2 linked regions of the Styela clava genome follow. The main gene of each other region encodes a partner of the protein of the gene in region 2 in a complex. Links are inferred from orthologs where the notes say so. Each region holds a gene or a part of one and is shown on either strand. Other genes may lie near its edges. The genes, in order: cytosolic iron-sulfur assembly component 2A-like and putative cytosolic iron-sulfur protein assembly protein CIAO1.

Region 1 (12,316 bases), about 3.2 Mb from region 2:
CATTTTTACTCTACACAAAACTCTGCTGATATGCTATTTTTGAAAAATTGCTGCCCAAGTTAGTGTTAGCGATGGGGTTGATCTAAGATCTTTACCTATGGTGCCAGAATTCAGTTCTCAAACTTTTAGTGTTATGGAGCCTGCGAAGAGGTTGACTATTATTTACGAAGTCCGGCACTAAAATTTATGAAAATTATCTATTGGCCTTGTTGCCCCATTTAGACACTACCATTGTCAAACATCTATCTTGTCCACAAATTTACAATTTTGTATTTATACAGATCTTCGGACGAAGAGGAAAGACTGAAATTTGCCTCGGTATGCATGACTGGAGACACTATTTTGAACAGTGGGGAGGGGGCTTTTCAGAGATGTGTCAATAAAAACACAAAGTTGACAAATCACAATCGATTAACCACTTCTGGTGATTCTAACCATAATGTTAAGCCTAAGAAGAAAAAAAGGAAGAAATCAGAAGTAACTACATGACAGTCATGAACTTGCTGACAAATAAAAAGGTCAATAGTACTGGTACTATTAGCAGAAACTGAGAAAGCACACAAGCTCTGTATCCATCTGTCATGAATTGTTATATGTCCAGCCGACATTTGAAAAAAAGGGAGTCTGCTGGAAATGACAATGGAATAAGGGCTCATCGTGCTGGATTCTGTTTAAAATTTTTGTCAGTCAACCCATATTCAAAGAAATAATACTGAGACAATCGGTGGTGTGGTGCATGGTGCTAAGCCCGCCACTGCACCTCTGATTACCCTGCGTGGGTTCGCTTTTCGTGGATCGCATATACTCCTTGTCGCAGTGAGGTGGTTCATTCCTCCACCATCAAGTTCATGCATCTGGAAGAAATAACTGGCCAACTAATCCCATACCCAACATGGACTAGAGGCCGTTGTTCGCCATTCGTCTTATTGACTTTCCTCTCTCACAGGGTAATCAATATGTAAATCCCATTCTAAATATTTGTTAAAAGAAGGATGTCTGGCATTTTGCTGATAATGTAATTGAGACTGAACAAGAAGATTATGGGCATCAGTAATATTGGTAATTTTTCGTTCACTCCTTGCAAAATATTTTGATAAACTAAGATCGGATTATAAGCATAACTTGCTAATTGCTCCTCATTGTTAAAGTTAAAGTTTCATTCCAACCCGAGTGACTGTGGCACCATAGTTAAGTTATTACCAATTTCACGGATACACTTTTTAATTATAAATAAATCATATCAAGTCCCGCTACGATGGTAGGGAAAGATTTCAGATCAAATTATATGGTATATGTTTATTAAAACTAAATTCATATCACAGAAAACAAGATAATAGGTAGAATTAAAAATTTATGACAGTAACTCTTTGCGCAGATCCTAGATTAATCGAATATGAAGAAACACTCTTTTGTTAAGGTGTGGAACAGTTCCCAATCAACATATATACACGCTGGTGGCAAGAAGAAAATTTGAAGATCAGTTAAGATGTTGATAACAAATAAATGTGTATAGGTTGAATTGGATCCCACAAGTTTACCTTCAAAACTCTGAACGAGCTTGGACTTCTAGGTTAAGACACTTTTCTGAAGGGCACGGACAACATATGCCTTTAAAAAACTTTTGCAAAGGTTATTCCTTGTTAGATGAATAGCTGTTTAACAACCCTGTATATGATTGAAGTTTTAGCATTCAAAGACATTTTCGGATGCCTGCTAAGGGTTCTTGAAGTCAAGGCTTATGGGCGTGTCATATTGGTTTTTGTAATCCTAAAAAATAATAAAATTGGAAGTGCAACTGAACTGGCCCCCAGAATTGTGAACAATAGTTATATGGAGAGATGGACGCTTCAGAAGTGTGTGTACCAATATGGAGGGAACTAATTTTGTTCTCATATTATACAACAAGTTGTGTAAAGGGACTGAAACCTATGGGCAAAGGGGATATTCACTTGGCTAACACAGGCAGTCGCCGAACACGTAATAGAACTAAAATAAAGAAAAATCAGAATAAAATTATGGCCTAATCCTAACCTAATACACACTGTGGGAGTACCACTGAATTTAATACAAGAATTAGATTTTGAAATATCAGATATTCTGATTTTTTTGAAAAATAATTGATTTATAATTTAAATACTGCATTTATTCAATTACGCCAACATGACCACTGTCAGTTGTCACATGAAGTTCAGAGTGTTGTACGACCAACGTACGTGTCAGTCAGGTTCTTGGATGCATTTTTCAACAACTTTCTTGATATTTGGATTTTCCATTGCAGCACTGGTTCTTTCTTTATCATTGATTTGTTTATTGACTGAAAATAAGAAATTTATGAATTGGATGATAATTCACAACGCTATAGTAAGCCGAGAAATTCTCAAGGAAATTTGATCAGAGCCTGGTCACTCAGAACATATCATCCAATCCAGGGAGAGGTTCTCAAACTTTTAGTGTTTTGGATCCTGTTGATTATTATTTACGGAGCCCCTCAATATATTTATAAAAATCATCTATTGGCCTCGTTGCCTAATTTAGACGCTACCGTTATCAAGTCTTAGTAATGCTGTTATTGCTTCTTTGAACAGTTATTAACAGTTCTTCGCGGAGCTTCAGGTTTCTCTCAAAGAGCCCTTTGAGAACATATAATCTAATTCATCTACAAGCGATATATTATGAATTATCTGTTCATCCATAAAGTTTTTGTGCAAAAGTACTGCTTCCAACCTTATGAATGATTGAGAGAACAATTGATTAGAGAGAAAGTCGATAAGACCGCTTAATAATCATATGGCGAACTATGGCTTCTCATCTGGTTATTGATCCATGTCCATATGGAAATAGGTATTTGTTAATATGCATGGTCTTCATGGTGGAACCAACCAGCGGTTACGTTAACCACCTGATGTCTCAAAGAGTCCAGAAATCCTCCGGTACATAAAGATTTGCCGCAGTGTGTTTGGGGTTCTTAACTCTTAGCATAATGGGCCAACTGTTGTTCAAAAGCACTGTGTCAAATAAGCACCATGCTTCAGCTAACACAAAAGTGTGGACCCAGCAGTTAGGCAGCCTGATGTATGGTTATTACTTATCGATTTTAATCGGTAAACATGTTGATAAGTATCTGTCTGTTAGATGCACGCGATATCTCACGAAAGCGAGATTGAATCTGCTCCAGATTTTGCATGTGCATTCATATTGATTTTGGATGAATTATGTCGTATAATTAGCGAGATATTAATTAATTAATGATGGAACACCAGGTGTTACTATGGAGTAAGAGCGCTGTTTTGGGGGATCCCCTAACTTTCGATCGATAAGTCTTCGGTCTCTGACCGATATTCTCATTTGCCGTTTGTTCAAGTTGTATTAGTTACTTTTGTGCATACTGAATCGTAGCAGTAAAAGCCTCTTATTTTGGGTGCAAACATTGTGTGATGTTTCGGGGAAAGCTTAGCAAGTTAGGGAACTTTGCAGATGGGGGCGAAACACTACACATATAAGCACAGTATAAAAAATTGTACTGCTCCTCGAGAATTCACTTACTTTCGTCACGAGTGTTGTGTGTGCCTTCAGCAACATTGATAGATATTTTATGATTGGTTGGAAGATTTCTCTCTAATTTAACTCTCATGCATAGTCCAATAAGTGTAGCAAGTGAACAATGGGGAATCGTAGGTCTGCAATATTGAATATTAATGCTGTTAAGATTGTTCATTCAGGATGCTGCATCACCAGTTCAGTAAGTGTCAGGAATATGCTTGCATGCAAGGATGGTTAACTTATATGCGAGAGGATGGACTCCTCACCGTCAAAGGGCGGTTCATGTAACTACTGGTCAGTTACAGCTTACTCCACCATCAAGTCCATGCTTCCGACAACAAATAAATGGCTAAGTGATTCCATACCCGACATGGTCTGGTAACCGGACAACTGTGGGTCGCCATATGATTAAGCAGTCCTATCGACTTTCCTCTAGCCACACATAATTCTTCCTAGCTTAACATCTTATTAGAAAGAAGGTCACCATGTTTCCTGACTTATATTCTCACCTAATACACAATGAACCGTCAGAGGATCAAAAAGTGATGCAATGACAAGCTTTTTCTAAACTCTAAGCATGACGCACACCCCAGCATTAATAAGGTAAGAATCCATTTTAAACTCTGTTATGTTTTAAGGCACAGGACACAAAAAAAAACTTAAAAGTACTTCATGCCCACAGCCCCACATCATCTTGTGACATTGAATATAAGTGAAAACCAAGATGAAATTCTCACAAAACGAACGTGGAAGCATTGCGATATTACACACCAGGGCGCTCCAGAAGTGGAGGTAACTAATATTATTCGCCCATTTTATATCAAGTTGTGTAAAGGAACTGAAATCAGGGGCTTTATTTACTTGTCTAAAACAGACAGTCTCCGAACTCGTAAAAGAACTAAAATAATCGGAATAAAAATATGGCCTAACCCTAACATGGTACACACACTACTGGATTACCCACACCAGTGACATATACGCAAGGGCAGTGAAAATACAAAACAGCTATAATGAAAATGACTAACCCCAATAGCAAGAATAATACAAGAACTATACTGACTTATAATCAACTTCGACGAAGTATCGTTCTTGATCAGCATCTGTTTCTACTCTGATACCTTCTTCATACACAATATCTAAATCTTCTAAAGTTCCAGGTTTTTCAGGATCTTTTATTGTTCGCAGAAGATCTATAACAAAGGTGACAATTAGTAATCCCAGAGTTTTCATTGAAAAAGGGTTCCAATTAACATTAACTGGTGGAAAAATGGGTACTCATGTAGTATGTGAACCAAGATGGCGGACTCTGGAACGTAGTATATGTACTGGGTCAGACCATAATTTCAAGTACAAATACTGCAGGAGTCATTTGGCTAGTCCTTGAACTCGTAATAGAACTAAAATGAGGAAAATTAGAATAAAATTATGGCCTAACTCTAACCTGGTACATATACTACGTTTCGGTGTCTGCCATCTTGGTTCACATACTACGGGAGCACTGAAAAATGATGAATACAACATCGGTATACTATTTTTTTTTTTTTGAAAGAACTTTCTTAGAGTAAAGTCATGTTCACTCGTTTAGAAATAAAGAAGATTGATTTCTAAACGAATTTAACATCGACCACTAAAGGCCTGGGAACTACAAGAATAAAAAAAAATTTACTAGAATCATTGCTCGAAGCTGTAGTCAAAATTTTTTAACACATAGAATTGGCAGTCAAAATTCTTCTTAACATCGAATCGACGATTTACTTCAGCCTGGAGCTTGTAAATTTTGTCAGACCTTACAGCCCTGGCATAAACGACTAACAGTTGACATTTTTCATACCATATATTGTCCCTTTGTGTGTGTCAATGTCCAAATCCATTGTTGTATTTACAAAACTACGACACAAAAAGTGTAGCTGTTTTTTAAAGATATACAAATTATCATGAAACAAAAATATATCAAATTCATTAATGTATAATTTTACCAAACAAAAACCAATATGACAAAGGTTATTCTTTTATAACAGACAGTTATAATCTAGCAAGAATTTAAACCAATTAAGGTACCACCTATACATTATAATAAATATCTGAAAAATTCAATACAGTTTATCTTATTATTTCACATTTTATAGGTGTTGTCAAATAATGATAAAAATTGGTGAAACTAACATTAATCGTTTATGTGCACAGAAATGATACTTTAACTTTCCTTTTTCACAGTTCAGCTTTAACAAAGTCAATTTTTTTTTAATTGCTCTTGAGTCAGATTCGGAGTATATGCTCTGAGCTTATGAGAGACTACTTCCAACGTAGTGACATAAAATTTCATGAATCAGCATTTTTGCTAGTGGATGTTTCCGCACTTTCTTTTTGTTTGTTATAATAATAAAGTGCATATCCCAGGAGAGAAAAAGTCATGAAGAAAGAAGCATACTCGAAAAAATATCCATATTTAAAAACGCTTCCAAGCATGAGATGTTTTACTTCAGCATCAGCCTCTTGCTTTTTCTCAAGAGTTTTAAAAGTCAGTTGATCGGGAACATCTTTCATATTTTCAAACTTCCCAACAAAAACAAGAATCATTTTATCTACTCTTGTTAATTTTCGAACTTTTTTTTTATTTTGATGAATTTCTTTTTTTCTCTCTAAATAAATTTCACTTTCAGTCTTTCTTTTGTCTACGACTTCTTGTTCTTCAATTTCAACAACATCATTATCTCCTATTGCCGGTCGAAACACTTTTCTTGTATATGTTTTCTCCGCATAGTTGCATGCTGGTATTGACTTTGCCAGCCAGTTTTTCTGATTTAACAAATGTTTTTCGACAAAAACTAGGCGTTCTAGTAACAAAGCCCTCCTGGTTGCAGTTCGTAATAAATTCATTTCATTGCTTAATAAAAATCTGTTATGAAAACAATGGAATTTTATTTCAATCCTTGCAGCCTTGTCTATGACATGTTGCACAGAGATGTGGCAAATGAGGAGAGATAGTGATTTATTTCAAATACCCTTAAAGTAGGCTACACATTGCAATTAAAAACAATAAAACTTTGGCAGCCAAGATCGCAAGTTCGACCAACCCTTAAAAAAAGAGTAGGATTTGTAACAAGTCTGCAGGTGTGGGATATCGAATTCCCGTTTAGTCATTCACCATCACATACCAGCATACCGGTACCAAACTCAAGTGATAAAACATACAGTATCACAGAGAAGAATGTCACACAAATTTCAAATAAAACAGCTGTCCTTTATAAACATGCCTCCATGAAGACCAAATCATGTAAATAATTGATAAAAACAAAACTGATACCATTGGTTGGGTAGAATAGGATTTACATATTTATCCCGGGGGGGTCGTCTGGTTACCAGTCTAGGCGGGGTATGGGATTAGTTAACCAGTTATCTTCAAGGTAAAGGGTAAGATTTAATTAAACTATCTTATGAAAAATTTATTCTGCATTCTGACGCACTTGGGCGTCACAGTCTCCCGTAATGTACAGGTACTAGGCTACTAATTACTACAAAAACACAACCGCCAAGGTCGCTGCCTGTCAAACCGTAGTAGTATATATTCACGGTCAAACTTGCAGTTGATAAATTAGCCAGTCAGCATTGTCAAAAACAAGACTTATCACGTGATCATTCTTGCTGATTCATAACAGTGTTCGAAATTCACCCCAACAGAAACGAGCTTGTTTTTATATATCGGTAGAATGCTTGAAAAGTCTATAAACTTAAATAATAGTACTATTTCTTATAATTTTTTCGTGTGTCTTCCATGACGTCCAGCAGACTACGTCATCAAAAATTACGCCATCGCGATGTCACAATTACGTAAGTAATCTTGTGTAAGTAAAGAGGCGATCACTCGTCAATGCAAAACAAAAAGTGTACAAACAAATTCATTCGCGCATTCGAAATCTCTCTTTTCGGGATTATGTCGCAAAGCTTAAAATAAATATGAGCAAACTGGCATACATATGTGAATTTAAATAAACAGTGGCAGGGACGTAGCGTTTTGATGGACCTTTCTACCCACATGAAGGTTTGTTACTGCTGGCTAGCGCTTTCCTTTCCCCCGGGATAAACAATAAAACCGCATCCTTTCCCACTCTATAAATATAGACGGAAGAAGTATACTTGCAATGTACCATTTTTTATTATTAAGCGTTGAGGAAAGCACGGTAGGATAGGATTTACATATTTATCCCGGGGGAGAGAAAAGTCGATAAGACGGCTTAGTCATATGGCGAACCACGGCCTCTCGTCCGGTTACCAGTCCAGGTCGGGCATGGGATTAATTAGCCAGTTATTTTGTTTCGGAAGCATGTATCCGATGGTGAAGGAAGCCGTAACCGACCAGCGGTTACGTGAACCACCCTACGGCGGCGAGGAGTCCTGCAATCCTCTCGCACATGATCATCCCCGCATGTGATTCGAACCTGTGAACCCACGAAGGTAATCAGGGATGCCGGGGCGAACGTATTCCCAACGCTTAGCACGATGCGCCACACCGCCGAGCCCAGTAGACCTGTAGACACTTTTACGATTTCACTCGAAACGAAGATTAGCTGGAATGGGCTTATTAATACAAATATATAGTCTATTATAGTACCACATATAAGACAATCATTTATTTTACATCAATCGATAGGCGAGGAACAGTTGGGTCGAATTTAACTAATGCTGGGCCCTATGCAAAAGGGATTAGACGGGGCCTAGTCTAGGTAGACATGATCATAATTAAGATTTTGTACTAGAAAATGGATTCGTATTTACATCTATTACCTTTGAACTAAGTAGGCCTACTAAATCACGATTAGCTTGACGAGTCTTGCGTGTACAGAATAAACATGCTGACCCGTATGTGATTATATAATAATAATAGCTTAATTAAATTTAATAACTCTCTCACAGACTTTGCGCGGTGCCCGCGTAAGTTGCGTGGTCTAAAACCGTCGCTGAGGAATAGTACCATTCTCATTCGTCAAGCGTTCCATATTTTCGCCTCGATGAAGGCCGTAGACAAGCAGGTGCGGGCCTATTGAATTATACACGGCAAAAGGGTGTAGTATAGTACTACACTTACATTTTTGCTTTTGTCCAATACGCGAAAATAGTACCAAACTTGTGTCATAAAGTGTTGTGGTTTTTTTTTCAGAACAATGCTCCGGGCAGGCAGTTGCGGGTTTAATTAAATATCTATACCGATAGGCGTAACATTGGGCCTACACCATCGGATGTTATAAGTTTTACACACAATACACTACAGCATTAAGGCAATAAAGTAGGCGAGATTGATGATGGGTTGGTACATTTCACTGAAAACGCGGTTTGTTACTAACCGATAGGGCTAATTAATTAATTTAAAATGATTGAACAGTGAAAAATCTCAATTATACTTCTTATTGGCGCGGCGGTGTGGCTCAACGGGCTAAGCGTTAGGAATACGCTCGCCACCGCACCTCTAATTACTCGCAGGTTCGAATCCCATGCAGGGATGGTTATGTGCGAGAGGATTGCTGGACTCCTCGCCGTCGTTGGGTGGTTCACGTAACCGCTGGTCGGTTACGGCTTCCTCCACCACCAAGTCCATGCTTCCGAAAACAAACAATACAGTAAAAACTAATCCCATACCCGACTTGGAATGGTAACCGGACGAGAGGCCGTGGTTCGCCATATGGATAAGCCGTCTTATCGGCTTTCCTCTCCCCCGGGATAAATATGTAAATCCTATCCTATTTTTAATTAGATATTGATTAATATGTTTACCATTATGTAAGGTGTAAGCCATGCTTCAACCCTGCCGAGGCTTACGAGGCTCGAGGTTGGAAGATAATGAACTAGTTGTATTACTAGATTTAGGGAGACGGATATTTGGTGCTCCCGATCCCGAAGTATGTGAACCAAGATGACGGACATCGGAACGTAGTATGTGTACCAGGTTAAGGTCAGGCCAGAATTTTATTCCAATTTTCCTTATTTCAGTTATATTACGAGATCGGGGACTAGCCAAGTGACTCCCGTAGTATGTGTACCTGAAATTATTTTCTAACCCTAACCTGATACACATACTACGTTCCGGTGTCCGCCATCTTGGTTACCATACATCGGGAGTACCAGATATTTAGCATATTTTCACAAGAGTCGAAGCCGGGGTCGTATTTTCAATCTCACTGGAGTCGGGGAGTCAAATTCTGAATTTCCCGGGGTTGCAATCGCTGCATTTGAATGATAATGAAACAACTGGAAATTAAACTCAAAACTTACAGCGTGCTAAGTTTAACATTCTATTAAAAAAGTTGTGGACGCCAATGTATCCAATGTCAAATTTCAATTTTCCGGAGTTCGGGACTTGAGTCGGAGTCAAATCTTTTTACAACACGGGGTCGAAATCTAGATTCGGAGCCTGTTCGTTTTCAACTCGAAATCGCGAGTCGGTTGCAAATTCGCGCCGGCTGCACAGCTCTGGGCAGATTAACGTTTTATAAAAATCGTTTTTATGGTGCATATTTTTTATTAATTTTTTTTATAATTCTGGTTTGGAATGAAAGAAAAAATTGTCACGCCAAGCCAACTTACATGTGCTACTATGCCTAGGGTTACCATATTTTTGTGACTTCAAATCGGGACGCCTCAAATGACAACGACCCCTTATCTGTGATTTTGTAACTTCACATTTTCCGATTTTACTACATAGGCATACATTCCTACATTTAAAGCTGTCTCGGCTGTCTTTATTGACCATTTTGTTATCGAAATTTCATGCGCATATTCTCTTTCCAAATATCGGGTTCAGTTCGAAAAATAGGAAGGAATTGACGTTAACGATACCGGTACAAATAGATCGAATTTAGACTAATTAGTATTGGTTTTACACGCGATACGTCTGCCATCAATGGGAATTAGCGGGAAACGATTGCATTCACATTCAGTAAGTAGCTAGCGCTGCGCTACACAGAAACAACAGTAACGAGAACATGTTTGTGTATTATGCTGGAAAAGCGGGACTTTTAGCTAACTTATCGGGACGGCGGGACAAAACGCTAAAAAGCGGGACTGTCCCGCCTAAAGCGGGACGTAGGGTAAGCCTAACTATGCCTTATTTTATACACGTGGCGCATCGTGCTAAGCGTCCGGAATATTTGTCAACGCACCTCTGATCACCCTACACCTGGGGTCGGCAACTAATCCGGCCCGCGACGCTTCACTGAATTATAGCGACAAAACAGCGGTTTCGACGATGAATTGATTTTATAATCTACGTTTGAGGAGTAGATTATATTCTTTACATAACAAAATTTATTGTTGGATACGTTTAGACTAAATTATATATATTATAACCTAAAAATTTAGTGAACAGCTACTCGTTTAATCAGCCTATGCGAAAAAATTCACTTCAATATTTGGAAGTACCTATGCGTGCGAACAATCATTTTCTAAAATGAACATTACAAAGAACAAGCATAGAACTAGAATTAGTGATGCCCATGTAGAAAATGTTCTAAACTTGGCTTCATTCGGTGTACCACTGATTTCAAAAAGCGTGATGCAACAACAGGACAAATTAAATGTCATTTGTAAGAGGATAAGTTGAGTTCACGAATTGTCGCAGTCTTTCCGCGCTGTTCCGTTTTTAACTTCTAAAAAATATGTGCGGTTCGCCAAGACTTGCAACCCTTAATTTTGACCCGCCAGCGACGAAAGGTTTCCGACCACCGCCCTACGCGGTTCGAATCCCGTGTTAGAGGATTGCTGGGATCCTCGTCGTTGTAGGATGATTCATGTAATCGCTGGCTGGTTACGGCTTCCTCCACCTTTAAGCCATTTACCTGAAAACAAATAACTGGCTAACTAATCCTATACCCGACATGATCTATATGTTTAAGCCGCCTAATCAGATTTTCTCTCCCCAGTAGTACGCTATATGATTAAGCTGTTTAATCGTCTTTCATCTCCCCGTGGGATAAACATGTGAATCCTATCGAACTATGCAATATATAACGTTCGCGGCGCGTCGGTGTGGCTCAACGGGCTAAGCGTTAGGAATGCGCTCGCCACCGCATCTCTAATTACTCTGCGTGGGTTCGCAGGTTCGAATCCCATGCAGAGATGGTTATGTGCGAGAGGATTGCTGGACTCCTCGCCGTCGTTGGGTGGTTCACGTAACCGCTGGTCGGTTACGGCTTCCTCCACCATCAAGTCCATGCTTCCGAAAACAAATAACTAACTAATCCCATACCCGACTTGGAATGGTGGCCGGACGAGAGGCCGTGGTTCGACATATGGATAAGCCGTCTTATCGGCTTTCCTCTCCCCCGGGATAAATGTGTAAATTCTATCCTATCCTATCCTTTATGCCACATATATGATGGATAGCATACCTTACTACAAACACATCCACATAAAAATAAAAAATAAAGATATTAAAAGTCTTATATTGAATATTGAATTACCCTACAGTCTACACCGTACCTGTTGAATTATTTTATTGGACACGTAGTGGACATAACGATCGTTTCAATATTATGTTGTTGTTGGACACGTAGTGGACATAACGATCGTTTCAATATTATGTTGTTGTTGTTCTTGTTATCCTTGTTGTTGTTCTTGTTCTTTGACACGTTTTTAAAAAGTCGCTTTTCTCTTCGAATACTGGACCAATTGCTTTGAAATTTTCAGTGGTTGAAGATAAAATTTTTCTCCAGAAGGCTATTACTTTTTTTTTCGCTATGACGTCATCAAAATTATTGCCATTGGGTGGCGCTACGTGTCCATATAT
Region 2 (13,437 bases):
ATGCTCTGTCTGTTAGAGCACTAGTTGCCACATTATTCGGACCTGCATAGGGTAATCAGAGATGCAATGGCGATCATATTCCCGAGCACATTTCTCCAATTGTCAAACCAACGCTATATAGTATTAGATATCACATACAACCTCTTAGGCTGAGCTATCAGGAGAAACACTAGTTGCCAGAAATAAAATCATTCTGACCTTTTCTCGAGTCTGTTATATAAAATTGTGTTGTCCGTCCTCAGCACGAATACGATATCAAACCATCGTTCGGGGAAGAAATCTGAGCTGTGGTAATCAACAATGTTTCCTCCTTCACTCAGCGTGTCTTCTAGAATGTCTGGAAAACAAATTTGTGTTTTGGACACATCAGTGGGCATTACGATCATGTCAATATTAGGTTCTTGTTATTATTCTTCTCTTTCGTCATGATGAAATTGCTTTTCTCTTCGAATACTGGACCAATTGCTTTGAAATTTTCAGTGGTTAAAGACTCATTTTTTGCCAGAAGGCTATTCCTTTTACTTGTTTCAAAAATTTCTGCGGACTTTAAGAGATTCGTTTTTAGTGTGTCAGAATAAAAAATAGCGACACCTTGTGACGTGTACATATATTTGAGCACAGCTCTCTTGCTAATTTTATGATTCCTAAGCGACCTCTGACATCTAAATAGATACTATTGTTATAGACACCGGAATATTTTTCGTTCAGGAATGACTACCCAATTCATTATGGCCATGGTAAGTTAGCATCACGGGGTACTACCCATTGTCCTGTGACCCATCACCCCTGTGATGCCAAAATAGTTGGGTCCAGCGCTCTAACTTAGTGGCGCCGCGATTCATGCTAAAATCAAACCAAAATTTTTTTACCTGACAGTTGGAGTTACGTGAAACTAACTACCTACTTTACTCTATGTGGGTCCGTATGTGAATAACGCAGGAATGCTGTAGCAAGAGTGAAAATGAGAATATCGGTCAGAGACCGAAGATTTATCGATTGAAAGTTAGGGGATCTCCCAAAACAGCGCTCTTACTCAATAGTGACACCTAGTGTCCCATCACTGATTAATTAATAACTCGCTAATGATACGACATAATTCGCCTAAAATCAATAGGCTTCTGGTCCGAGATATGATAAATGAACATGCAAAATCTGGAGCAGATTCAATCTTGCTTTCGTGAGATATCGCGTGCATCTAACAGACAGACATACAGACAAATACCTATCAACATACTTACCGATTAAAATTGATAAGTAAGGATCATTCTATTTAATTTACGAGTCTTGCTGCACACTAACATAAATATAATTCTGTAACGTTTTGTCTGATTCATTGCTCCAGATCCACCAGTATGTCCCAGGCCTCAACTCTTGAGCCCTGGTCCTATGCCTATTTTTATTTAAGGTTTAAATGAGAGTTTTGAGAAAATTTTGGTACTCCTGAAGTATGCGCACCAAAATGGGTTCAGGTTGTGCACCATCTTGGTGCGCATACTTCAGGAGGTCCAAATTTTTTTTAATCATAAGCCAACTTGGGACTCACCATGCAAAATCATTCTCAAATTTGGCATAACAAATCTGAAAATCTCTGCCTTACCTATGACCCCATCTTCATCTAAGATCTGACATTCTAATTCTTCATCGTAACCCGTGTAGAGTTCATTTTCTTTCGCTATTTCACCAATGTTTATATATTTCATGTTTACACAACTTGCGAGCTCTTCTGCGAGGGTTGACTTTCCTGTACCTGGCGTGCCTGAAAGTAGTAATATTACGATTTTTAATGATAATGAAGCTTTTTTAATAAAAATTCAAATCGATCGTGACAAGCGGCTCGGCGGTGTGGCGCATCCTGCTAAGGGTTAGGAATACGCTCGCCACCGCATCTCTGATTACCCTTCGTGGGTTCGAATCCTATGCAGGGATGATCATGTGCGAGAAGATTGCTGGACTCTTCGCCGCTGCAGGATGGTTCACGTAACCGCTGGTCGGTTACGGCTTCCTTCGCCATCAAGTCCATGCTTCCGAAAACAAAATAACTGGCTAACTAATCCCATACCCGACCTGGACTGGTAACCGGACGTGGTTCACCATAGGATTAAGCCGTCTTATAGGCTTTTCTCTCCCCCGGGATAAATATGGAAACCCTATCCTATTGCAAGCGCCAACTGTCACATGATCAGATTTGCAATTTTTCAATATTGCAGAATATCAGTGTCAGTTTGCACTGATATGGAGATCCAGATAGTCTCATATAGAGGGGAATTGCACTCACTGTTATAATTGATGTCTTTCATTTAAGGGCTATTCTTGGGGTAATAGAACTGTGCCATACTGTTTTGTGTAAAAGAGCATTTCTTGAAGATGCATGGGCTTCATAATACACACAAAATAAAAATTGGAAATTCTGGAAAGCGAGAAAAACCCTTAAAAAGTTTTAGACATGAAAAATATCATGTGCCTGCTCACCCGCACAAAAAAAATCATGAAAACACAAACCTAAACATGAATAAAAAAAATATGCGAATGTATTAAACCAGGGTGGTCCAAGGTTGTCGGCTCCGCGGGTCACAATAGTGCCAAGAATAGGTAAACAGTGCAATACAAAATAAACACTTTTATTGTGCAAACACATAGTTATCAGACATAGCCATCCCAGGCTAATAGAATCCGCATTCGATTTTTAGTTTTCTATGATGACTATATTGTTAGCATATATTCCCGACCAAAAAGATAGAAATCCAGATAACAATTTAGACTGCCAAGCACATCATTCAACTTCGCTATTTGCCTCAGCCAGCCATAACACTCATTTCAGTGACATTAGTGATGAAACAATATGTCAAAAGATTTTTCTGATAAATTTGATTACGAAATAACACAAATGCGATTTATCGATTATTCTCCGAATGTGACGTGGGCCACAGATAATGAAGCGACGGGCCACATGTGGCCCGCGGGACTGGGTTTGGACCACCCTTTATTAAACATTCAGGCTGTACTTTTAAAACACTCAAGCTTATTAAAGTTCAATTTCACTATTCTAGCCACCGGAAAAACCTCGCACAGCACGTCGATTACAGACTGCCTTCTAAAAAGAATGGTGGTCTTATGTAAAAGTCGAATTACAAGCCAATTTTTTCTACATTGTGTCATGTTTCACTGAAAACCAATCATAGCCTTACGATGGTGTATGGTTGTAAAACCGCCTACAACGTTGCCGGCGGATTACAACACAGGCCCAACGTAGTTATGCTATCGACAAATCTGGGTAATGGCTAATACTACCTGATACAATATATACCTTAATTCAGCGGTTCCCAAACTAAGGGTCAAAAGGAATCTTAGTGGGTCGTGAAAAGATGTAAAAAGCTTTGATTAATTATACTGGTTATTAGGATCGGTGGCGACTCGAATACGTAAATCTTTAAAAAAAAACAAAAATAATAAATTGAATTTAAATTCTAATCTGTGACAGTTTCATTTTCACGATCTTCTCAAAGGAACAAAAATTTGCTACACAAAATCCTAGCAGTTCATTCATCAAAAATAAAATTACATTGTAGAAAATCACGAGATGGGTTGCCATAAGCTGTAGTAATAAATAGTGCGTCCCAACTCTAAGAAGTTGGGGAACCACTGCCTTAATTTGAATGTCTTGAAAGGATGGAAATATAAAATTTAATTTTCTATCTTCTCAATACTCTGTACACTGATACAGTAATACATATATCTGTTGTAAATTAAAGTAATGTCTAATTTGCCCCATCTCTCAGTGGTATTGCGATAAACCAAAGATATTTAGAGTCAAATTTAAATCTTGATTATTCGACAATATTTTTACAACGTGATGCATCAATCAATACAAAACCAAAGCGTTAATATCAGACCTGCCTACAGTTTTAATTATATATAATATATTATATAATTTATCTTAAGTTTATTGGGTTTACTTATTTCGCAATTATCTCTGTTGTTATGTGTGTGTGTGAATTAATTTAATAATTTTAGGTGAGTGAACACGTACCAGTTCTTCTTAGCCAAACCTTCCATCTTATATTCTGTACGTTTTAAACCTTATCTAAGGTTTTGTTTGCTCTCCTGATTCTATAATCGGTTTATATTTTTATTATTCATTTTAATTCCTGTTATGCAAATTATGGAGCCGAAATGACCTTATACTTATTATTTTAAAAAAATTATTTATTTTTCTGTTATTGTTCGATCAATTGATTGTTTAATTTGGTGATAATACTGGAATTAAAACAAATTAAATTAAGATAAATTGTACCTAGTAAACAAAAATAATAGTGAAAAACGAAAATACTTAAAATCGAAAACGTTATATATATAATCATCTTACCGGTTATTAAAACATTTGGAAGTTTTCTTTGGTTCATTTTGAATGTACTTCCAGCACAAAACATTCAGAAATGACGCCAATATGACGAAACTCGTAGAAACTGACCAGAACGAGTTGATCTGATGTAATTGTAAACAAATGTGACTCCACATGGAAACTCTAAAGTGACTCCTTGTGGATCAAAAATTTTTCCACACAAACCGCTAGATGACGACATTGAGTCGCATGTGAATTTCCGATTGATTACATTTCAGAAAATTGGAATGAATTTATTCAAGTTCTAATTTTTATTTTTCACCAAATTAATTGTTGGGAATACCTCAGAAATTGGGCGACCTTTTAACAATGTCATGGCATTATCCCAGTGCCACTGGCACCATAGATCACGTGAACAAAGTTGGTAAACATGACTTTTGCTTTTGTCCACTCTCAGACAATTTCGTGTTTTGCTGCTAGCTTCACAGAGGTCTCTCAGACTCTGTCTGTAGAAATCTTCAGTTTTTAGACAAATGATACATATTTTTTTTTTATTATGTTTGTTTACTATCGATGTGTAAGTCATCGAGTTCTTCTTACTTTATATTTTCTCTGTGTTTGTGTGGGCGCGTGTGCAAACTAATTCAATTATTTTAGGTGAGTGAACACATAATTTGGACGTTGTTTTGCTAGTTAGTAGGGTGGTGTAGCCAGTCTGCGGACGATTTCATTCAAACCGCGACGGCGACTAAAACAAAAACCAATATTTCCAACCCGTTAATTTTTTCACCGTAGGTGCATTGGCATTTATTCTACACGCTGAACTTCTACGACCAATTTCTAATTCTACGAATTAACTTTCTACGACCAGGGGTTAAAGCTATACAAACCACCAAAGTACGACACTCTGAAGACGTTTTTGCGACCGAACGACCAGTGTGCGATCACGAATTTCAAGCCTTGAACATCGTTTCTGCTGCGTCGAGACTAGGGCATACGCAGCCATGCGTGAAAAAATGGGCTTCTAATTGCATTTCTGACCGTCATATATTTTAAGAACACAGTTATTTCAAACAAAATTCTTCAAATTATAAACAAAGCGCCGCATCACAGCAATCAAACAGACAAAAACACGGTGGTCGCAAATTTGTTGACAAAGATATTATTGACGTATTGGAAATGCGCACCCCCCTACTCCCCCTCCTTTGAATGTAGAAACGCGAAACTTTAAAGATGGTTAAAAGAAACACAACTCTTCCCACCTGCCAAGTTTCATCTCTTTATCTCTTATATTTGTATGGATTTTTAAGCTTTTCCGAAGGAACAATGGGTAGTTGGCGACATGGTAAAATGGTCCGTTTTTTTTCTTCGGTCAGGTTTTCAGTCGTAACTTTTTTATTTGTGGTCGCATTTTAGTGTAATTTTGCAGAGCTACGAGGGATAAGTGGACGATAACGTGTGAGAAATATCGTCGCGGTTCGTTAATTTTTTCGGCATTCGTTTAATCGATGAAGTTGATGGTCGCAGATAGGTCGTGGCCGCAAAGTGGGTAAGCCACCCTACTTCTAATTGTTGAGTGAAGCAGGTCTAGCTCACCCCTTCATATATCCAACTTGGCAATTCTGATTGGGCAATTTGGCATTAGGTGACTCCAATTATAATCAGATTGACGATATCTTTCAAGGAATACTTTTCTATCCACAGTTGATTAGTCTTGTTGACTAATTCGATATCCAATTCGGCAATCTTCATAAAACTATTAATTTGGTGTGGCAAATGAGTTTACTCATTTTTTTCCTTTGTTTGTATATTTTTCTTTTTACTTTTAATTGATATTTGAGTAATTTAATTGATTTTAAGTCTCGCTTTTTCCACTTCCGACGTTATCATGTTTCAATGATTGTAGGTGCGTGCCTTAATTAATTTTTTTACTTTTGGGTGAGCGAACGCATACTACTTCCTTTATCAATACCTTTCCATCTAAAATCTGTACGTCTATGTAAAATCTAGCTAATCATGTAAAAACTTTTAACTACAAATTATTGTGGAATATTTTACCGCTTAAACCAATGTCAAGAATTAGATATATTGCTGGAGATGACCTATGTGTATTTTGGGACAAAGAAGCTGAATTTATAACACATTTATTCTGGAATTGCTCATTTGTGAAACAATTGTATGATTATGTTTTTTCTATTATTATGAAAATAACTAACAGTGGCAACTTAATAAATTATGAAACATGTACATTATTAGATTTAAGACACAATAATTATATACATTTGACCAATATAGAAAAAAATGCTATTATTTTATTGATATGTACTGCAAGATATAAAATTTGGTTGCAAAGAAATGCAGTGATTTTTGAAAATGTAATGCCAAGAGTGAATAATGTAGTCAATACTATAAGAAATTCAATAAGGTGTAGGAGAAATATAGAACGACTGAGAAATTTACCTAATTATTGTGAAGAACTTGATTTATTATGCAAATATATATAAAATATAACTAGAAGTGTTTATTGTAATGAAGTGGAACTAATTCTTGAAATTTAAAAAAAATAAATAAATCTGTACGTTTTAAACCTTACTCAAGGTTTTGTTCGCTTTCCCGATTCTATAATCAATTAATTTTATCTCTTGTTTTATTGTCTAATGCTGATTATGGAGTTGAAATAAACTTATACTTATTATACATACTGACATACCGTGCGGTACCACTTCTTCTTGGCAAAACCTTCCATCTTATATTCTGTATGTTTTAAACCTTATCTAAGGTTTTATTTGCTCTCCTGATTTCATAATCAGTTTTTTATTTATTTGTTTCTATCAATCATTTTATTGCCTGGTATGCTGATTACTGGATTATGTAGTCGAAATAAAATCATACTCATTATGTTTTGTTTACTTTAAATGTACATATTCTAAGTAATCTTCTGGTGCACTTGACCGAAAATGAGTGGCATTGACATGTTCATTGTTGGAATTCAACAACTGTTATACTTATCCTCCTAATTCAGTAATCTTTTCAGTATATCACAAAATAATATCATTCTAGGATTGCGGAAAGTTTATATCTCTCCCATTGCCATTTTTTTCTATCGCAAACCGAGTAATTAGCAGACGTAGAAAAACAAGTATAGTTTGCCTGACGAATATGTTTTTTGAAAGCCATACTTTATACTTTAAATTTACATAGTTTATGTCTTCATTTAATATTATTTTTTTTATCATTTAATAATATATTATAAATCAGCCCTATAATGTCTATCCGACAAATTGCAACGTTAACGGGACATGGTGATAGAGTATGGGGTGTTCACTGGAATCACACAGGAAAGCATTTGGCGTCTTGCAGCGGCGACAAAAGCGTGCGAATTTGGGGGCTGGAGGGTGAAAAATGGGTCTGCAAAACGATTCTCGAAGAAGGCCACCAGCGTGCAATACGAAGGGTTGCTTGGTCCCCTTGTGGGAACCGTTTAGCGACCGCAAGTTTTGATGCAACAGTTTGTATTTGGGATAAAAAATCAGGGGAATTTGAATGTATTGCAACACTTGAAGGACATGAAAATGAAGTCAAAGCTGCAGCCTGGTCCATTTCAGGGTCATATCTGGCAACATGTTCTCGGGATAAATCAGTCTGGGTTTGGGAAACCTATGATGAGGATGATTTTGAATGTGCAGGGGTCGTGACCTCTCATACCCAGGATGTAAAAGAAGTAGTATGGCATCCTAATGAAGATATTTTTGCTTCGGGTAGCTATGACGATACAGTGCGGATTTTTGAGGAGGATGACGGGGAGTGGGTTACTGGTGCAGTGTTAGAAGGTCATGACTCCACCGTGTGGTCAATTTCTTGGGATAAATCCGGCGATCGATTAGCAACAGTCTCAGATGATAAAACTTTAAAGATATGGAAACGCTATAAATCTGGCAACCCTCAAAATATTGTGACAGGGAGTTCAAAGTATTCATGGAAATGTATTTGCACTCTTTCTGGATTTCACGAAAGAACGATATTTTCCGTTGACTGGTGTCATCAAACGGGACTCATCGCTACAGCGTGTGCCGATGATGCTATTCGAATCTTTAAAGAAGATGAGAAAAGCTCTTCTGATGAACCGACTTTCAATCTGTTGTGTTCGTATAATCACTCTCACGCGCAAGATGTAAACTGCGTGTCCTGGAATCCCGCTCAGCCGGGAATCCTCGCTTCAGCGAGTGATGACTGTGAAGTTAAAATTTGGAAAATTGATGATGTTTAATCTTTTTATGAATTTTAATTCAAAACCTAATGGGAGAGTGGAGCCGATAAGAGGGCTTAATGGGTGCTCCCGAAGTATGCGAACCAAGATGGGCGGACATCGGAACGTAACATGGGTAACAGGTTATGGTTAGGCGATGATTTTTTTCCAATTTTCCTTATTTTTATCCTATTATCAGTTCGAAGACTAGCCAAGAGCCTCCCGTAGTATTTATAGCTAAAATTATGGCCTAACCCTAACCTAGTACACATTACATTCCGATGTCCGCCATCTTGGTTCGCATACTTCGGGAGCCCCGCTTAATGATATGGCGAACTATGGCCTCTCGACCATGCAATGGTGTTCGAGATTATCAATGGCTTTTAAAACTTATCCTAAGGGGAGAGGAAATTTGATAAGATGGCTTAATCATATGGAGAACCACGGCTTCTTATCTGGTTATCAATCCATGTGATGATTTTTAGGATTCTTCATAATATTTATTACTCATCCATGTTAATGGGAGATGAAAAACGGTAACGTGGCTTGATCACACAGTATGCTGTGTTGAGGCAGCTTGACTCAATTTGAATTGGACTCGAGTTATCATTTTTTAAAGACTTGAAGTGACTTGGGGCGTTGACTTTGATGACTGTCTGGTTGTATCACTCTCTCCAAAATAATTTATTACTTATTATTATTATTTTTTTTACGATGACTGTTATATTATTTTGGTTGACGAAAAAAATAAATCTCTCCTCTCTCGTCGAAATCGGTGATTCTCAAACCGTGGCCCCTTGGGCGAAATGATTTAATATGGCCCATGCCCATCGGACCTAATTGAAATAGTCCAACACTTTATAACATATATATTTTTGCATTCTAATTACTGTCAATTGTTATGTCATTATCGCAATTTTTAATGCATGTGTATATCATAACAATTTGATTTTCATCTTTTGAAAGTACTGATCGTAATGAAGTGATTCAACAAATGGCCAGTGAGACTTAATGCAGGAATTGACTAGACTTGACTTACATTTCTAATCTGGTTTTCGTTCCGAATCCAATTTTTAAGGAGCGTTGTCCAAGGCTAAAGACAAATATGACCTATATATAATATTCACAGTTTGTCATATTGAGATCTGAGCCTTCGGCCCAGTAACCAAGTCTATTCTCTGTAACTGACCCACTCAGAAGAGTAGTTGCCCTGCCTTGAAAACCAATCTATTCTTTTATATGCTGTTCACTCTGAACAAGGCTACATTACTGCTATTTTCCCCATCTTATGTGGTCCATGGCATCTTCTGGAATTTACATGTCTGGATCTTCATGTGTTTCGTGAAACTTAGTGTAAAAACATATCAATTCAGCGACCCATACCCTATCTCCATCTTTTTACACCGGAACCTGGGATATGGACGTGCCATAAACTGACTATTGTACATATCGTCGTTGTGCCGTACCTCTTTGTCTTGTGTATTTTATTTGTATAGTAATTTCATGTCTGTTGTCCTAGTATAACGCAGCAGTCCTAAACATGCATGTCGCACATCTGTGTCTTAGGCCAGTAAGGTCTTGAACATGTATCCAATCTCTGTTTTACTCTTTAATTATTATGCAGCTACTGTTACTTTTTTGAGGCAAATAAACATACATACATACATACTTTTAGCACTCATGGCCCCCTGTCCATCATTCCAGTGGTATTTAGAGTGTAATTTTATTTGGTAGATTAGTTTGACACCTGACATTGTGGCCCAACTGTTCTGTGGCCTTCCTGGGGAGGTATGGCTTCCTGGTTGGGAACTGCTGTTATGTAGTTTGGAACGACTGGTATATTTCTGGTTTGGCCCTGGGTGAGGCGCTCATTTATAATTATTCGAATGATAATTTTTAATCATTGAGGCATATCTGGTCAGAATAAGTTCTATTCAATTTAGTAGGGTATAATTCTGTCTAATTGTTTTTGCAAATATTGAGGTGTTCAACTGTTTATTTTTCACTATTAGTCAATGAGGCAAATCTGGCCAGAATATTTGCTTCTTAATCAAAGGGCTTAAGTGCTGCCACATTTATTCATTTCAAGAATATTATTATGATCTATCAGCTTTCCCATTTAATAATTTTATTGCTTTTTTTCATTTTTAAATTCAGCGAAAATTTTGTAAATAAAATCAAAAATATAAATGGAGACGCAAAAAGGCGGGAATGGTCGCGGTTCAATAAACCCAAACTATTTGCACGGTAATGCCGTAACGTCTATGATTTCACCAATTAATAAACAAGGATATTTGGGAGATTTAGAGGAAAAATCTGAACCAGAATTGAATGAATTACTGGAAAGACAGGAAAAAATGCTGAAAAATAAGTAAGTGGTATATTTTAAATTTCTGTTTGTGGGTTTTAGGTGAAATTTTCGTGTCTAGATGTTTCAATCATACTTTTCAAGTTTCATACTTTTCGAGTCGAGTATGAATCATTTTAAAAGTGTTGCTACAAGAAGGGTCACACAAACTCACTCAGAAGTAAAGGAGCCATTGTGTAGAGAAGTGTTTCTCAACCTAGGGTCGCCTTTAAATTTTTTTTTCGGTCGCTTGTTTTTTCAACCAACTTTAATAGTCTTCATTTTCAGGTAAATTTTATTGTTGATAAGTATGTTGATAGGTATTTGTCTGTATGTCTGTCTGTTAGATGCACGCGATATTTCACGAAGGCTTGGTTGAATCTGCTCCAAATTTTGCATGTGCATTCATCATATCTCGGACCAGAAGCCTATTGATTTTGGATGAATTGTGTCGTGTATTAGCGAGTTATTAATTAATTAGTGATGGAACACACGGTGTCACTATAGAGTCATGAATCGAAACCACAGTTTCGATTGATAAGTCTTCGATCTCCGACCTATATTCTCGTTTATTACTTATCGATTTTAATCGGTACTTTAATCTTACGAAAGCGAGGTTGAATCTGCTCCAGATTTTGCATGTGGATTCATCATATCTCGGACCAGAAACCTTTTGATTTTGGATGAATTATGCTGTATAATTAGCGAGTTATTAATTAATTAGTGATGGGACACAAGGTGTCACTATGGAGTAAGATTTTTTTGGGGGGGATCCCTTAACTTTCGATCAATAAGTCTTCGGTCTCTGACCGATATTCTCGTTTTATATTTGGTATTGAAGTGTTGCTCAATAGTAGTTTTATACATGGGGAGTATCAGAGGATAAAAGCTTTGCAGCTTTTATTATGGTTTATTTAAGTAAGACCATGGCACGCTGAGGGCAAAAATATCAGTCTTTCAATTTTGCGGCCATAAAAGTATTTGTCATTTCGTATTTGAGCATATCCTTGAGTCATGAGATTTTACAAAACTCATTTTTTTTAGAAAGTTTGGTTCGCTTGAAAAAAAAAAGGTTTGAAACCTCTGATATAAAGTAAACAAAACAGGGCTTGTGAACATTTACATCCGACTGATACCCGAAGGGCTACTGTGTTCTTCGAATGACCCAAATCATTTTACTATCAAATTGTATTAGACTTATATTTATGAAAGACTTTTGATTCCTGGAACATCTTTCTTTCAGAAAATTTGTTGAAAGGCTTCCAGATAAAGGAGAGAAAATTCAAAATTTTGTAAAAACTTTAAAAGAATTATTAGAAAAAAGAGAGAAAGAAAGAGAAGAAGGCAAAGTGACAGAATCATTCAACCATCATGTTGAAGATGACCCCAACATGCCAGGTTTAGAAGAAATTCCGACGGACGATAGAAGCTCCAGAATGGAACTGGGTGAAGATACACAGTTGCCACATGTAGGTGTTGTGAGTTGGTATTGCTGCTTTTGGCACTGCTGCTTTATACTCAGTATGAACATATAATTAGTAAATGCCCACAAACATAACCAGAGTAACCCTCAAGGCACCCCAACAGTAATGCGCCCCCAAGTACAGAGAGCACATGACTACTTCATCTTCACAACTGTGATCAATCATCTGTGACTGATGACATCACAGGTCATGCTACAATGAAGGTACAGATAACTGTTTTGGCATATATTTTTGTGACATTTTTTACTCCACTGTTTCTAAACATTTAATCTGAATAAGGGGCACGATTGCTTGGCGGTTGGATGGTTAGGTCTTGCACGATGCCAGAGTACTTTGTTTATAACGAATGGCACGAATAAACGATAAGCACAGCCTTGTATTAAAGCAGGGGTGGGCAACATACGGCCCGTGGGCCGGGTCCGGCCCGCGACGAGATTTTGATCGGCCCGCTGACTGTATCCAACCACACTCTGTAATGTGGCCTGACGTATCATTCATGAAAGTTGCCGACCGCTCTACTCTCACCGCACTATCTGTGCGAGCTGGTGAAATAAACAATTGCCTTAGTGAACAAACAATTGTGTTAGCACACTTGTTGAACAAATAATACAAGGTCAAAGCAGAGAACATAGATTCTGAATATAAATAAAATTTAGATTTTATATTAAGTTTTATTAACCATGGAATATCTCAAGAAACGTAAAGTTGACAGAGAGTGTCATCGAGTGTCGTTTAATTTTCTTTCTTGCATAAGCGAATAAATATGTGATTAAGATATTGAATACTATTCGTGTTATAATCCGGCCCACCAAGGACTTCATTTTCCCCTATCTGGCCCGCCGACTAGAGAAGTTGCCCACTCCTGTATAAGAGCATTGGCGTTCGCTTGCAACTTCTCAGTTATATTCCCACTTTTAGTGAGGGCTCGAGACATTGTTTGAGTGAAAAATTTTTAACGATGATTATGCTTTTGATTTTAAAATGTCTGAAAATTTTTCTTTCTTAGGAGAAAGAATTGAAA

The links.
Region 1: putative cytosolic iron-sulfur protein assembly protein CIAO1 (region 2) and cytosolic iron-sulfur assembly component 2A-like share a complex: the UniProt entries of both Homo sapiens proteins name them as parts of the CIA complex. The link is inferred for Styela clava from reciprocal best matches to the Homo sapiens genes CIAO1 and CIAO2A.

What each region holds. Positions count from the first base shown.
Region 1 is NC_135252.1:20,976,295-20,988,610, forward strand, and holds cytosolic iron-sulfur assembly component 2A-like, read right to left. Parts: upstream 5,550-12,316; 5' UTR 5,412-5,549; coding exon 5,372-5,411; intron 4,731-5,371; coding exon 4,601-4,730; intron 3,678-4,600; coding exon 3,544-3,677; intron 2,342-3,543; exon of another isoform or gene 2,315-2,341; coding exon 2,217-2,314; 3' UTR 1,278-2,216; downstream 1-1,277. Other genes in the region: uncharacterized protein LOC120343543, read left to right, coding at 282-489; uncharacterized protein LOC144421077, read right to left, coding at 5,860-6,417. UniProt on the Homo sapiens protein: Component of the cytosolic iron-sulfur protein assembly (CIA) complex, a multiprotein complex that mediates the incorporation of iron-sulfur cluster into extramitochondrial Fe/S proteins.
Region 2 is NC_135252.1:24,216,526-24,229,962, reverse strand, and holds putative cytosolic iron-sulfur protein assembly protein CIAO1, read left to right. Parts: upstream 1-7,582; 5' UTR 7,583-7,604; coding exon 7,605-8,606; 3' UTR 8,607-10,742; downstream 10,743-13,437. Other genes in the region: adenylate kinase isoenzyme 6-like, read right to left, coding at 199-337, 1,598-1,756, 4,364-4,427; uncharacterized protein LOC120342056, read left to right, coding at 10,775-10,956, 12,176-12,401, 13,423-13,437. UniProt on the Homo sapiens protein: Key component of the cytosolic iron-sulfur protein assembly (CIA) complex, a multiprotein complex that mediates the incorporation of iron-sulfur cluster into extramitochondrial Fe/S proteins.